2 linked regions of the Caenorhabditis elegans genome follow. The protein of the gene in region 1 interacts with the protein of each later gene in a pairwise test. Each region holds a gene or a part of one and is shown on either strand. Other genes may lie near its edges.

Region 1 (6,784 bases):
TCACTAACAAGTAGTGTCTGCCGCATTTTCCCTAAATCCTACTATTTTATCAAAGTGTTATTTTATTTTGCTTTTGAAAATGTGAAGCTCATAAGTTTTAAAGTATTTCCTCAGTTGAAAGAATTTAAATATCTTCAGCGGTATCAGAGATACAATGTTTTAAAGTTTAGCGCGAGATAGCGTGGAGGGAGGGGAGACGCAGTGTGTCTAACCCTCTGCGTCTCCTCTCTCCCACACTCTCTTCCACCTCAAACTTTGAACCAAATTATCTCAAAAACGGCTAAAGATATCAAAAAACTTTCAACTAGCAAAATGTTCAGTGTTAAATTTTGCATCGGAAAAAAATTTGTTTTCTGAAATTTCTGCTGGCTCAAGTAAGGTAAATGCTCAGAAATGCGCAGATATCATTTGTCTACTTTTAATTAAAAACCTTGAAAAAATAATTTCCCGTTTGGTTTAGTACACCAGAACACACCCCTGCAACGTGTGTTCCTCATATGTTTGTGTCTAGTCTCCTCCCTTTCCCTCTTCATCTCTGCGTCTCTCACCACCCCAACACTCTCTAGGTGCCTTTTTATCTCTGCGTCCTCTCCCTCTCTCTTTGTTTCACGCTCTTTTAGCCACAACAAAACAAATGTTTCTCATTTTCGACCAGTTTTTTGTGGAATTTATTTTCTTTAGTTTTTCAACTTCCGAGTGTTTTTAATTTGTTTTCTCCTGATTTGTTAGGATTTTTTAACTTTCAAAATGAATTTTTTTCTGCAAATTTCGGACTGAAAAAATACAAAAACATTGCAATTTTTTTCTTAAAAAATAATATTAAAATTAAATCCTAAATTGTAAATTTTACATGAAAATTAATCCAAAAAAAAGAAAAGTGTTGCCAAAATTAAATTGTTATTTAGATTAAAAAGAGGCAAAGATTTACCCCACAGAATTGAAACCGGTTCCGCAGAAAAATTGCCCAATTAGCGATGGGTCAAAAATCGCATCTGATCGGGTTGTTTTTGTTCGTCATGGGTACCCGCGTACCTGTGTCTAGACAATATTTGTTTCGGAAAAAAATTAGTGAAAAAAAACTTGTTTTGTGTTTCTAAAAAAAAGTGTTTCTCATAAAATCTATAAAATTCTCAAAATGGAAAAAAAGCTCTGTTAAAAATATATTAGTTAAAGAAAAAAATTTAAATTGCACGAAAATAGTTAAATTTCTTTAAATTTCTAAAAATCTACTCTGAAAAATAACCTGTTTCCCTGAAAAAAAATTCCAGAAAATTTCCAATTTTTTTCTCTCAAAAATGCTTTAAAACTCCGAAAATACAAGAAACCTTCTAAAATATTTTTTTAATATTGGAATATTTTCAAATTACACAAAAAAAAATTAAAAATGAATTTTGTTCGAAATTTTCAGAAAATCCAATTGAGCCTGTAAAACCTTTGTACACGGAAAAAACTCTAAAAATTTCCAAAAAAAAATTAAGAAACCCTTTGAAAAATATATTATTTTCCATTAGAAAATTTTAAAAATTTTATGAAAAATTTTTTTTTTTCAATTTAATTTTCTAATTTTCGAATTTTTTCAAGTTCTCAAAAACTTCTATGATATTATTTCTGAGCTTTCCGAGCAACTTTCGCAATAAAAAGTGACGTCACTCAAAAAAAAGTAGTTTTGTATTTTGTATATTTGCTGAATCACCACTGTTTTCTGTTCAAATTTCATTGGTTTTTTTTTCTCTTTCATTTTTCACGTTTTTCCATTTCTCTCCCCTACTTTCTCTATGATTCAAACACGTTTTTTAATTCAACAAAAAAAGCGAAAAAAAGTGTTGTTTGGCCTTAATCATATGTATTAAATGGTTACCATGGTAGCTATCGCAAGTAGACAGCTGAAAATCTTTGATTTCTCTGCGTCTCTCCTAATTTTTTGATCTTTTCCGTATTCCGGCCACGCAACCCTTTTGTTTGTGTAGTTAGCTGGCTGACTTATGATTTTTTGGAAAACTGGTGAAAATGTTTCGCCCATTTTTTCATTGAAAAACCATTCTTAGTATCTACTTTTTAGTGGAACCTCTGATAATATGATAAAATGGGTATATTTTAACTAAAACCCTAAGGGTATACATAATTCCAAAAACGTTATTTTTTTAAACAAAAAATTGCGAAGCACCAAAATGCTCCGTGAGCTCAATATGGAAAACACTGAAACCTAGGCAATATGGGGCTTAAATCAAAGCTCTTAAAAAGCTGAACTCAAATTCGTATTAAAAAAAAATTTAGTGATTGTGAATAAAATAGAAAATAATGTGGGTAATTTCAGACAAAATGGGTATATTTTAACTAAAACCCTAAGGGTATACATAATTCCAAAAACGTTGTCTGAAATTACCCACATTATTTTCTATTTTATTCACAATCACTAAATTTTTTTTTTAATACGAATTTGAGTTCAGCTTTTTAAGAGCTTTGATTTAAGCCCCATATTGCCTAGGTTTCAGTGTTTTCCATATTGAGCTCACGGAGCATTTTGGTGCTCCGCAATTTTTTGTTTAAAAAAATAACGCCATTGTTAATTTTTATCATAAAATTTTTATTATAAGTTCAGCTCCCTTAGAGCGTCAATTCAAGCCCCATATTGCCTAGGTTTCAATATTTTTCACGTTGAGCTCGCGAAGCATTTTGGTGCTCCACGGAAGCATGAAAGCGGAAATTTTCAAACTAAAGTAATCTATACAATATGGATGCCAAGTTTTCAAATTTTTAGTGAATTGAGCAGCAGGATTAATTACGATTTGGAGTGTTCTGTGCTCACGGAGCAACAGAGCCCTACATTAAGTTTGAGGTAGCATAGGCATTATGGGTGTCAAACTAAAGCTTTCAGCTAGCTGAATCTAGCAAGATTGAGCCCACATCTGAATTTGGTGCTCTGAGAGCCAGAAATAGAGGTTGTTTTAATCAGATTTAAAATTGTCTGTGCCGTGCACAAATTGCTTCTCCTTATTCCCCTCTAATCATTGAGTTGTATGGCGTCATTGAACTTTTGATATGTAAAGCTTTTTATTATGAAATTTGATTTCAGCTTTCAGGAGCTTGAGAGCCATATTTTCTAATTTTAAGAATGTTTAAGACTGAGCTCAATTGGTGCTCCGCGAGCTGAAAGCTTTAAAGCTGAAGTTTTGTAAATTTAGATCAAATTCGAAAACATTTTTGTGCAAGCTCACGGAGCATCTTTTTTTTCACGTCACGTGAATCACTATGCTTACCAGATTGTAGCGCTGAATTGTATCAGTTCCTGTTGCTCCGCGAGCCCATAAAAACTTTACTATTTGATTCTACAAAAAGTCTAGGTGCCCCAGAACTTTCCTCCTGCTGATTTTTATCTTGAAATTTTTTCTAAATCTACTGTGCTTTGTTCATTTTTCAAGTGTTTTTTTTTCAGAAAATAACCATGCAGCAACCAGTAATAAACCAACAACCGGGCTACAACCCACAGGGTATGAATCCAGTGCAACAATTCGAAATGCATCAGCAGCAGCACCAACAAGCAATCACAACTCAGCCAGGTGTCTTTGTGCAGCCGGCTCCTGGCTCCGTGTGGATGCCAATGCCACCAGCAATCCAAGGTGTGCCTACAGGCCTGGAGTATCTTACCTACTTGGATACAATCATGGTGCATCAAATCAAGGAGCTCATCGAGATTGTGACGGACTGGGAGACCAAGAACAAGTACGTGCTCAAGAATGCAAATGGAGAACAGTGTTACTACGCGTTCGAGGAGTCCGGATGCTGTGAGAGACAGTGCTGTGGACCGCAACGTGGATTCGTCATGCATATTGTGGATAACTTTAAGAGGGTAAGCTCACGGAGCATCTGGTTCAACAAGCTCGCGGAGCAATCCTGAGCCCAAATTTTCAGGCCTACCAAGCCAAAATTGATCCACATGCTCTGAAATTTCAAATTTTCCAGGAAGTTCTGACCATCAAGCGTGAGTTCAAGTGTTGCGGAGGTGGTTGCTGTGGATGCTTGGCATGCATCGGATGCTGCCAGCAGGAATGTATCATCGAGACCCCATCGATGGGTGTTCTGGGTATCATCCGTCAGCGGTGTGGATGCATGTCGTCGAATTATGATATTATGGATGGAGATGGAAATGTGATCTTCCAGATTGATGGTCCATGCTGTTGCATGCTTTGCGGATGTCAGGATAAGGAGTTTCCGGTAGGTGAAGTTCTAGGGTCCTGAGAGGTGTCGGCTGCAAGGTACATGCTAGCTTGTCTGATTGCAAGGTGCTGTGAAATGTCGGCCGCTAAATATTACCTGAGGCTGTGAATGTATTGAAAATCCCAAAATTTTCACCGGCCCTTTATCTGAGGTTTTGCCAGTGAGGCGTCGGCCGCAATTTACTAGGATTACTGGCCACCCGTAAAGTGTCGGCTGCTTGAACCACCTGCTTTGCTGACTTGTGCTGTGCAGCCGACACCTAGCGGCTTTGTCGAATAACCCAAGAAACAGCGGTTGCCGAGCAGCCGACACTTTGCGGGTCTGTCGGGAAGCCAGTGAGCTACCGGCTGAAGATCCTATCCCCCTAAAATGTCCGCTGCTTCAATACCCTCAAAATTTTCAGATCAAAACCGCCAACAACGGCACAGTTGTCGGCGCGATCACCAAAAAATGGGGAGGTTGCTTCCGAGAGGCGTTCACCGACGCCGACACGTTCGCCGTCAACTGTAAGTCGCCCCCGTCCATACAATCAATAATTCTTGCAATTTTCAGTCCCCGGCGACCTGGACGTCAAACTCAAAGGAGTACTGATAGGAGCCACGTTTTTGATTGTAAGTTTGGTTGCTGTAGAATTACTGTAACTTTGCTAATTTTTCAGGATTTCATGGAGTTTGAGCAACAGAGCCAAAACCGCAATAACGGAGGTTTGTGATTATCGCTTTTTGCTAACAGAAGTTTTTTTGTTGTGGAAATTATTGATTTTTGCTTAAATTATCAACTTTTGTCTAAAAAAAACTATTGATTTATGTGAAAATTATCGAATATTGAAAAAGGATTGGTGTCTTCCCTAAAATATGAATTTTCGTCCAAATTATTGATTTTTGGGATAATTATGGATTTTCGCTTGAATTATCAATTTTTTTTTGCTTTTTCAGTCTAACCGTCCGTCTGCTTAACCCTCTACCATTTGCTTTACATTTTTGCTGTGTTTTTCGGTGATTAGAGCATAATTTGGTATGCAATCCCGGTTTTTTGTCAATTGACCTTTTTTTAATTCCAGGAGCCTATTACAGTTCTTCTTAAAGGTACAGCAAGCTCCGCATGCTGCTGCCCCGATGGTTGTGATTGCAATTGTGACTGTAATTGTTAAAAGCCAACTTTTTTAAAAACGTTTTTCTTATTATTCCAACGCATTCTTCCAATATATGTATGACGTCACTTTCCTTCAGACTCCGCCCACATTTCCTTGTTAAGCCCCGCCCACTCTCAGGTCTCCAAGCCCCGCCCATTTCTTCTAGTTTTCAGTGTCTGTCCCACCCACTTTTTTCTCACAAAATTATATATCAAAAATAAATTGTTTTTGAAAAATCGATAATTCAAATAGTTTACTACATATATTGATTATTTAAAGTGTAAAATTCACGAAATGTGTATTTTTGCTCACTATGAAATGTGCTCCAAAACGCTTTGCTCCGCGAGCCCTTTGCTACAGGATCAGCTCTATTTGCAAAATTTTCAGGTTGAAAAAATGGAGCAAGAACTTCTTAACCCTGCTCCACCGGTTTACGTTGAACTGCAAGACCGAGCTGTTATTACAACTCAACCGGGAGCTCCGATACAAGCGGCTCCAGGATCCATCTGAATGGAAGCGCTCCCAGCAATTGAAGGGGTTCCCGCCGGCCTAGAGTACCTTGCATACTTAGATGAGATCATGGTGTACCAAGTGAAAGAGATGTTTGAAATATTTACCGGCTGCCCTAAAAACCAAAAAAACTCACAATCAAAAACGTGGCTCCAAGGAGCACAGCCTTGAGCTTGACATCAAAGTCGGCGGGGACTGATAATAGCCAGGGGTTATTTTAGCTTTTTTCAATTAAACCTACATAAGACGGCAAAAGTGTCCGCGTCAGTGAACGCCTCACGAAGTACACCACCCCACTTTTTGGTGATTGAACCGATGAGCTCATAGTTATCGGCAGTTTTAATCTGGAATTGTCTACGCAAGTGGCCATTTTCCTGCTGAAGATTCACCATAAAATCCTAATCTTCACAAAAGCATTGTGTACAACAGTCCGGCCCATCAATTAGGAAAATCACATTTCCATCCTTGTCCAAAACATTATAGTTAGTGGATACACAACCATGTCGTTGACGGACTGTACCCAGAAGACCTATTGAAGGAGATTCAATAGTACATTCGTGTTGACTACATTCAAATGATCCACAGAAGACACCTCCTGTTGTGACTTGGGCCTAACGCTTCCCCTGCGTCCCAACTTTGCAGATATATGACCGGTCAGGCTCACCCACTCGCCACCACTCATTATCCGCGAATACATTCACTCTCCGTTGTCCTTTTCCGTTTATTATCTATTAATAATAATTCCCTTTTGAATTACCGCCATTTGCGTATTTCCCGATGCAAGCGCGCTCCTCCGAGACCTCCCGTTACTCCGGAGCGTCGTAGCTCCGTAAATCCACACAATAATTCTATCCTACTTTTAGGCCAATCGTTCATTCTGTTCTACCTTCACCAGACGAGTCAGCGGCTACCCATCCGCAGACACTG
Region 2 (6,441 bases), on another chromosome or scaffold:
ATCAATATCTACATATTGCGAGACCCGAAATTCAGGAAAAATTATTATGATTGTAAGATCATGCCGAAAAGTTGATTATACTGCTTTGATAAAGGTTCAAACGTGGATACCTACATAGGCCTACATAGGCTGTCGTAAAAATATATTATACGGACCACAATAATTAGGTAAGCAATAAATTTTATAGGCGATGTAGGTGTAGGCGATGTAGGCGTGTGGTCACTTTTTATTCTTAAATGAGAAATACTTATGTCGTAAGTTTATTTCATCGAGTCTTGTTCTCAGTATTTCAGAACTAATAGAACTTTTGAAGGTAAGGATTATTTTCTGAAATAGTACACTTTTTTTAATTTGTATTCGGACAGCAGTTTGAAAAAAAAATAATTGTTAAAGTTCAAAATGTTGTTCATCCAAGACAAGGCATCCCCCGCAATACTCCCGTCACTGATAGGAGTCAAATATCCGTGAAAACTGTGTTCATCTCAAAACGAGGCAAATAAGGTCGGCTTCGAAAATTCCGGGTGTTTAGGGTCTCTCACTTGCAATTCCTTGCACAAATGTTTCCTGAGAAGACAATATACAGACAAACATGTGCTCATTTCACCCATTTCCTTCTCTCTCTCTCTCTTTCTCTTTTCTCCAAGAAAAGTATTATAATGTTGGGTGCACCTCCTCCCACCGTGTCAACGTATTACGCATTTTTTGCACCGATCCGGTTTTTTAAAAGCAATCATTGTTTGAATGTAGGTCGCGCATGGAAAAGTACACGTGGATTAGAACACGTTGAAACATACACCAAACATCGTTTGAGAGGAAATTACAACAGGAAAACTGGCTCCAAAACTGGCTATAGAAACAACACTTTTTGATTTTTGGTTCAAAAATTACTCCGTTCCAAATGTTCAGTAGCAATTGTAAAAAAAAAATTTAATGCTATTTTCCTGAGAAATTTCACATTCACAGAAAATCTCTATTTTCAAAACATATATTAAAAGTTGAAATTTTGATGTCTATCAAAAATTGTCAAAGAACATAAATAGGCACAATTGCAATATCAAACAATGTTCCATTCAATTAAGCTAAACCGGAAAATCTCTAGCTCAAAAAGAGAAGTCATACAGTTGGAAACTGTTTCGGTGATCAGTTTACGATGCTCTGCGCAGTAAAGACAGAAGAAACGACTCATGTTGACTTACCTTGATTCATTGAACTTATGTTCAGAGACTTACCGACAAATGACGGGATGAATCATTTGAGAATTTCTGTAAAGGTGCAACTAGAAGAGAAGTTGTACATTGTTTTTATTCGAAATTAGGCAGAAATTAACCGGCAAATACCGAGGTATATTGCAGGGAGCTATAGTACACATAATAATATCAAATTGACATGATTTATGAGTAGGGAAGTTGATATCATAATTGGTTCAAGTATATCTACTACTACTGACAACTTCGACGAGCCCTGAAACATAAACAGGAAAAATTGGTACTAGATTGTGTAACATACAATTGATGCGTACCTCTTCGAAAATATTTTACCGTAGTCTGAATTTGTACGTGATAAGCTCTCGTCAAAAACAAGAAACTACATACATTGCTGCTCACAACGAAATGCGTTCAATTGAAATTTCTATTTGCCAACCGGGAGCCTCCAGACGGTTAAAACTGTCAAATGATGTGATTCCGTATGACTCATCAATGTCTGACCCAGAAATCCGGTCCTCTCGGAGTTTCTAGTTGTTTTCCACGTGTTCCACGTCACAATTGAATTCACATGGCAACCAGCTGCATTGCATTGGTAAAGTGACCATTAAATTCAATACGAAAAGTAAGCAAATACTTCAATTGTGTGAGTTTTAGTTGACCAACTTTTCATCAGGTTCATGAAGAATGTGAATGAAAAATGTTTTTATTCACTGTGAAGTAGGGGAGATCAAGAGATAAAGAACAGGCTAGATTTGGAGATACGAAAAGCGACAAACATGTGTTTTTATGTAAGCAGTCTTCTCCGAGCATCTTTTTATAGATGTTCGAAATACTTGAAGCGAAAAATTGCGCAACTTGAACTAAACAAGATAATCAGTGCGGTTGCTGCTATTTATGGATGATGATTGCTCGCGAGAGGGGGTCAGCAGGGACGACATTCCTACAAAGGGCATAAGGAGAATGAAAAAGTATGCGGGTAGAAGAAGAGAGCAAATGAGCATTGAGAGCATACTGTATTTAGTGATAAGCAGAGATTTTTGATATCTAAGCTAAGAGTGTCCGGAACATTTGGAAACTAGAAGCATTGGTCATGGAATTTTATTTAGAAAAATTGAAAAAGGAAGTCACACACATAATAAATTATGTGCATCTAAAACGTTAAAAAATCCAAGTATTGTACCGATTTTAATATTTCCAGGTACTGAAAGATTTTGAAAAATAAACAATTTTAGCAGCGTTTTTTGAATTGTCTTTGCTTTACATTGAAAGCTTATATCTCGGTTCTCTTTGGTTTTATCAAAAAATTGTCAACAAACCAAATGCGTGTAAAATGTTTATCTATATATCAATAGTAGAACATTTTTTGATATAACTCATGACAGTCGAGATATGAGTCGTCAAATTAGAGCAGTCGTGGTAAAAACTTTTAAAATCACAAATCAAGAAAGATAATTAAATTATTTTTCGCTGTGTGACCATTTTTATTTCAGCATGCGCTTCAAAAAACTACCAAGTTGCGTTATCATATTCTTTGGTTTACTCCGAAAATTTACTGGTAGCTATATAATTTACCAAAGCTGAACAAATAATCCACTCATTTGGTGAATAGTTCTAAAGTATACAAGCTTCAAGTCATACAGGTTATTTCAAAACTACAGTACCCTTCAAGGCTTTGAGGACCTCCGGTTTCCGAGTATGAATTATGAAATGTTTTTCGTCTAGTCCTCATTGTCTCAATCACTATCTCCAGGCAAAAAGATGAGATCTCTTGAGGGTACTGGACTCTCCCTCAATCCTCCGATTCAAGGAGTTGTTTCGAACGCTTAAGCACTCCTGGCTCCGCGCGGGGCGGAGTCGAAGTGTGCCGCGACCGACCGACCGCCGGCGCCTTCCTCCCCATTACCCCCACCCATCTCCCGCCGCTATATAAAAGGTACGCAGTGCCATCTGGACAGAATACAGAGCCTTCGAGTTCTAGTCCTTCTCCTTCTTTTACCCAACTCATTATTCCCCACATTTTTGTTTCAATGGCAGCCCGCAGAGCAGCTTCGATTCTTCTTATCGCCGTTCTGGCCCTCTCCAGTACCTTCGTCTTCGCTGACGAAGAGACTGTCAAGGTAAATTTCTTTTTTAAATACTACTTTTGTACTTTTGAACATTTATTTAAGCATTCAGTCATACTTTCCCTCTTTTATGCTCACTATTATTTTCGTGTTTTCTGTGTACCTAACCATTAGGACACGGCGCGGATGTGGGTATTGAATGCACAATGTGCATGAATAGGAATAATGAATAGGCTTTAGGAACAAGCTGGTTATGATCATGATCTTATTGATCATGCCCAATTGAAGCATAGCGTCTAGTACATCAGGATCCAAATTTCAGCAATCATTTGTTTAAATAACTTTTCAATTTTAACTATGATGCTTCCTTATGACTGTCTAGACTCTTATTTCATTTATTCCCGTCATTGGCCATTCCTTGAGACCTCACTAATACAAAGTGAAGTGGTCATTTCAAGGGGTCAGCTGGCTTCTTCTCCTGCTCTTTCCCCTCCGATAAAAACAGGAAAAATGATAGTGTAAACAAAGGGCGCATGAAGATTCTCTCCGCGATTGCCCCCCAGAGTGTGCGCGCAAAAATCTAAGCACACTGTCTTTCCTTACGGTCAAACAAAAGAGCCCTAAATAACTGCAGAACGAGACCGGATTGGCGTTGTCGCGTGCCAAGAGACAGTGCTGTTCATCCAACTCCAACTCATGCTGCGGAAACAACAACAACGTGCAATGCATCCCAGTTTGTCTGCAACAGTGCCAGAGCTCATGCCAAACATCCCAATGCATCCAACAATGTCAGCCAGCTTGTAACCAACAGTGCGGAGGAAACAACCAAGTCATCCTTCTTCCACAAACCAACAACTGCAACCAATGCCAACAACAATGCATCAGCTCCTGTGCCACCCCAATCTGTGCTCAATCCTGCAACAACCAATGCTCCAGCTCTTGCGGAAACTCTGCTCCACAAATTGTCGTTCTCCAACCACAACAGAACCAATGTGGATCATGCCAGTCTTCCTGCCAACAGACTTGCCCAACATGCAACTGCCAATCTGCTTGTGCTCCAGCCTGTGGAGGAAACAACAACAATCAGCAAATCATCGTTGTTCAACAGGACAACTCATGCTCATCCAACTGTAACAACCAGTGCTCCAGCTCCTGCAGCACCCCAATCTGCATTCAGTCCTGCCAATCCTCCTGCCAACAGGCCTGCCAGCCAACCTGCCAGCCACAATGCATGCCATCCTGCTCGTCTAGCTGCACATCCAACCAGGCTCCAATCGTCATCGTCGCTCAACAAGGAGACTCATGCTCCAACTCGTGCTCCAACCAGTGCCAGTCTGCCTGCCCAACTCCAATCTGTGTCCAACAGTGCAACTCTCAATGTCAATCCCAGTGCTCGAACTCTTGCTCCGGAAACAGCTGCAACCAACAACAGGTAATAATATTGATTTTCCATTAATTCATGAATCAATATTACAGGTCATTGTCCTCCAACAACAAGACAACTGCCAGAATCAATGTCAATCTTCCTGCATGAACACTTGCCAATCATCGGCTACCGTTCTTCAATGCCAGCCAATTTGCCAACAAACCTGCCAGAATACCTGTCAACAAGCCGCTCAAATCGTTGTTCCATGCCAATCGAGCTCTTCTGGATGTGGATGCTCATCTGGATATTCTCAATGCGGTGGATCATGCTGCCGTCGTCGTTAAGCATCCCCTTCCCTGAATTCTATGAACGAATTCTTACCGTATCCGCGTTTTCTATGCGACAACTTCTGTTTTCGTTTCCCCATCCCACTTCTCACATAACTTTTATTATGACATTGTCTGTAAATAAGTGGTAGCCATGTGAGGTGTCTAATTATTTTATTATTGTTCCCTTCTTTTTCATGATGTTTCATTGTCCTTGAGTTTCGACAATAAATTATTCTAATTTAAGAATTATACAAGAAATGTTTTCATTCGGCAAAACATAAAATAAAAAATCACATATATTCACAGTAATCAATCATCATATAATAAATTGTATTGTTTAGTCCTGTTTGAATAGTCCTCGAGCTGAGCGACGAAGGGTTGAGCGACGCTGAAAAAAAAATTTAAAAAGAAGAAAAACAAATGTATCCAAATTAACAGTTTTTCTAAATTTATTATTGATTTTATTCCGAATTTTGCAAATATAAACGAAGTTACTGAAACAAATTCGAATTTTCGACAGAAGTTTCAAAATTTTCGCGTTTTTTATTCATTGGTTTCTCTTGATTTTTTCCTTGATCTTTTTTAATTGTCACCCAAAAAAAAGTCGTCGAAATTTCAAAATTAGCCTAGAAATGAGTAATGTAGCATTAGTTTCAACTCTTTTTTTTCGGAAAACTTTCTGAAAAAATGACAAAGTATCGAATCAAACACTAAAGAATTTTTCAATTAATGAATGAAAATTCCATAATTCGATAGAAAATTAAAAATTTTGAAAAAAGAGCACATGCTTGTTATAAAAATGCACATACCCTTACAGCACCAGCTTTCATCATTGAGCTTCGTCGTTTTTTCTTTTTCTCTGGAACATATTCCTGCACATCGGAATCTTCTTCGGCAATATTCATAGCTTCCAAGATCGAACCGAGAGGAGTAATCGGAATTGGACCATGGGAGTTTTTCTCTGGCGATTTCACTGCGGAGATATTCTTCCAGTTCTCGATTGACTTTTCAATAAGTGCAATATGATATTTGGAGAGACCTGGTTTTAGATCGCAAAGTGTCGATAGAACTCTGGAAAAGATGAAGAATTATTACAATCGTTAAATTTTAGAAATTAACTAACGTTTGAAAACTGATCACTTGAATGTGATTTTCCTTTTCTTTTTCTTCCATTTCTTGATTCAACGAATCGTTCATGCTATCAGTCTCATCAAAGTTTAGAACAGTTCTAGGAGTTTTCGATGGACAATTGGCAAGATTGATCTTCTGGAAAAGCCTTTTTTTAGAAAGAAAATTGGATAATAAGCAATGATACTTTTCTATCAGCCTTCTTCGTCGATAAAATTGATGTTGGCTTGAAACTGAGATCCGAAATAGGACTGTGCCTAACATCTGAAGAAGAACAAGCAGCTATTCCATCAGCTTCAGCTGACTCTCGCGCCTCCTGAATTGCGGATTCAACTTCGAAAAATCGAATT

Evidence for each region.
Region 2: the proteins of scrm-1 (region 1) and abu-14 interact in a two-hybrid assay, tested with the Caenorhabditis elegans proteins (one study listed by BioGRID).

The regions. Positions count from the first base shown.
Region 1 is NC_003279.8:11,687,480-11,694,263, reverse strand, and holds scrm-1 (Phospholipid scramblase), read left to right. Parts: upstream 1-3,433; 5' UTR 3,434-3,442; coding exon 3,443-3,847; intron 3,848-3,960; coding exon 3,961-4,212; intron 4,213-4,618; coding exon 4,619-4,721; intron 4,722-4,767; coding exon 4,768-4,826; intron 4,827-4,873; coding exon 4,874-4,919; coding exon of another isoform or gene 4,920-4,927; exon of another isoform or gene 4,928-5,150; coding exon of another isoform or gene 5,151-5,155; exon of another isoform or gene 5,156-5,275; coding exon 5,276-5,298; 3' UTR 5,299-5,582; downstream 5,583-6,784.
Region 2 is NC_003280.10:9,223,949-9,230,389, reverse strand, and holds abu-14 (Activated in Blocked Unfolded protein response), read left to right. Parts: upstream 1-3,175; 5' UTR 3,176-3,232; coding exon 3,233-3,322; intron 3,323-3,902; coding exon 3,903-4,700; intron 4,701-4,744; coding exon 4,745-4,978; 3' UTR 4,979-5,204; downstream 5,205-6,441. Other genes in the region: ZK1067.3 (uncharacterized protein), read right to left, coding at 5,301-5,351, 5,773-6,034, 6,087-6,229, 6,279-6,441.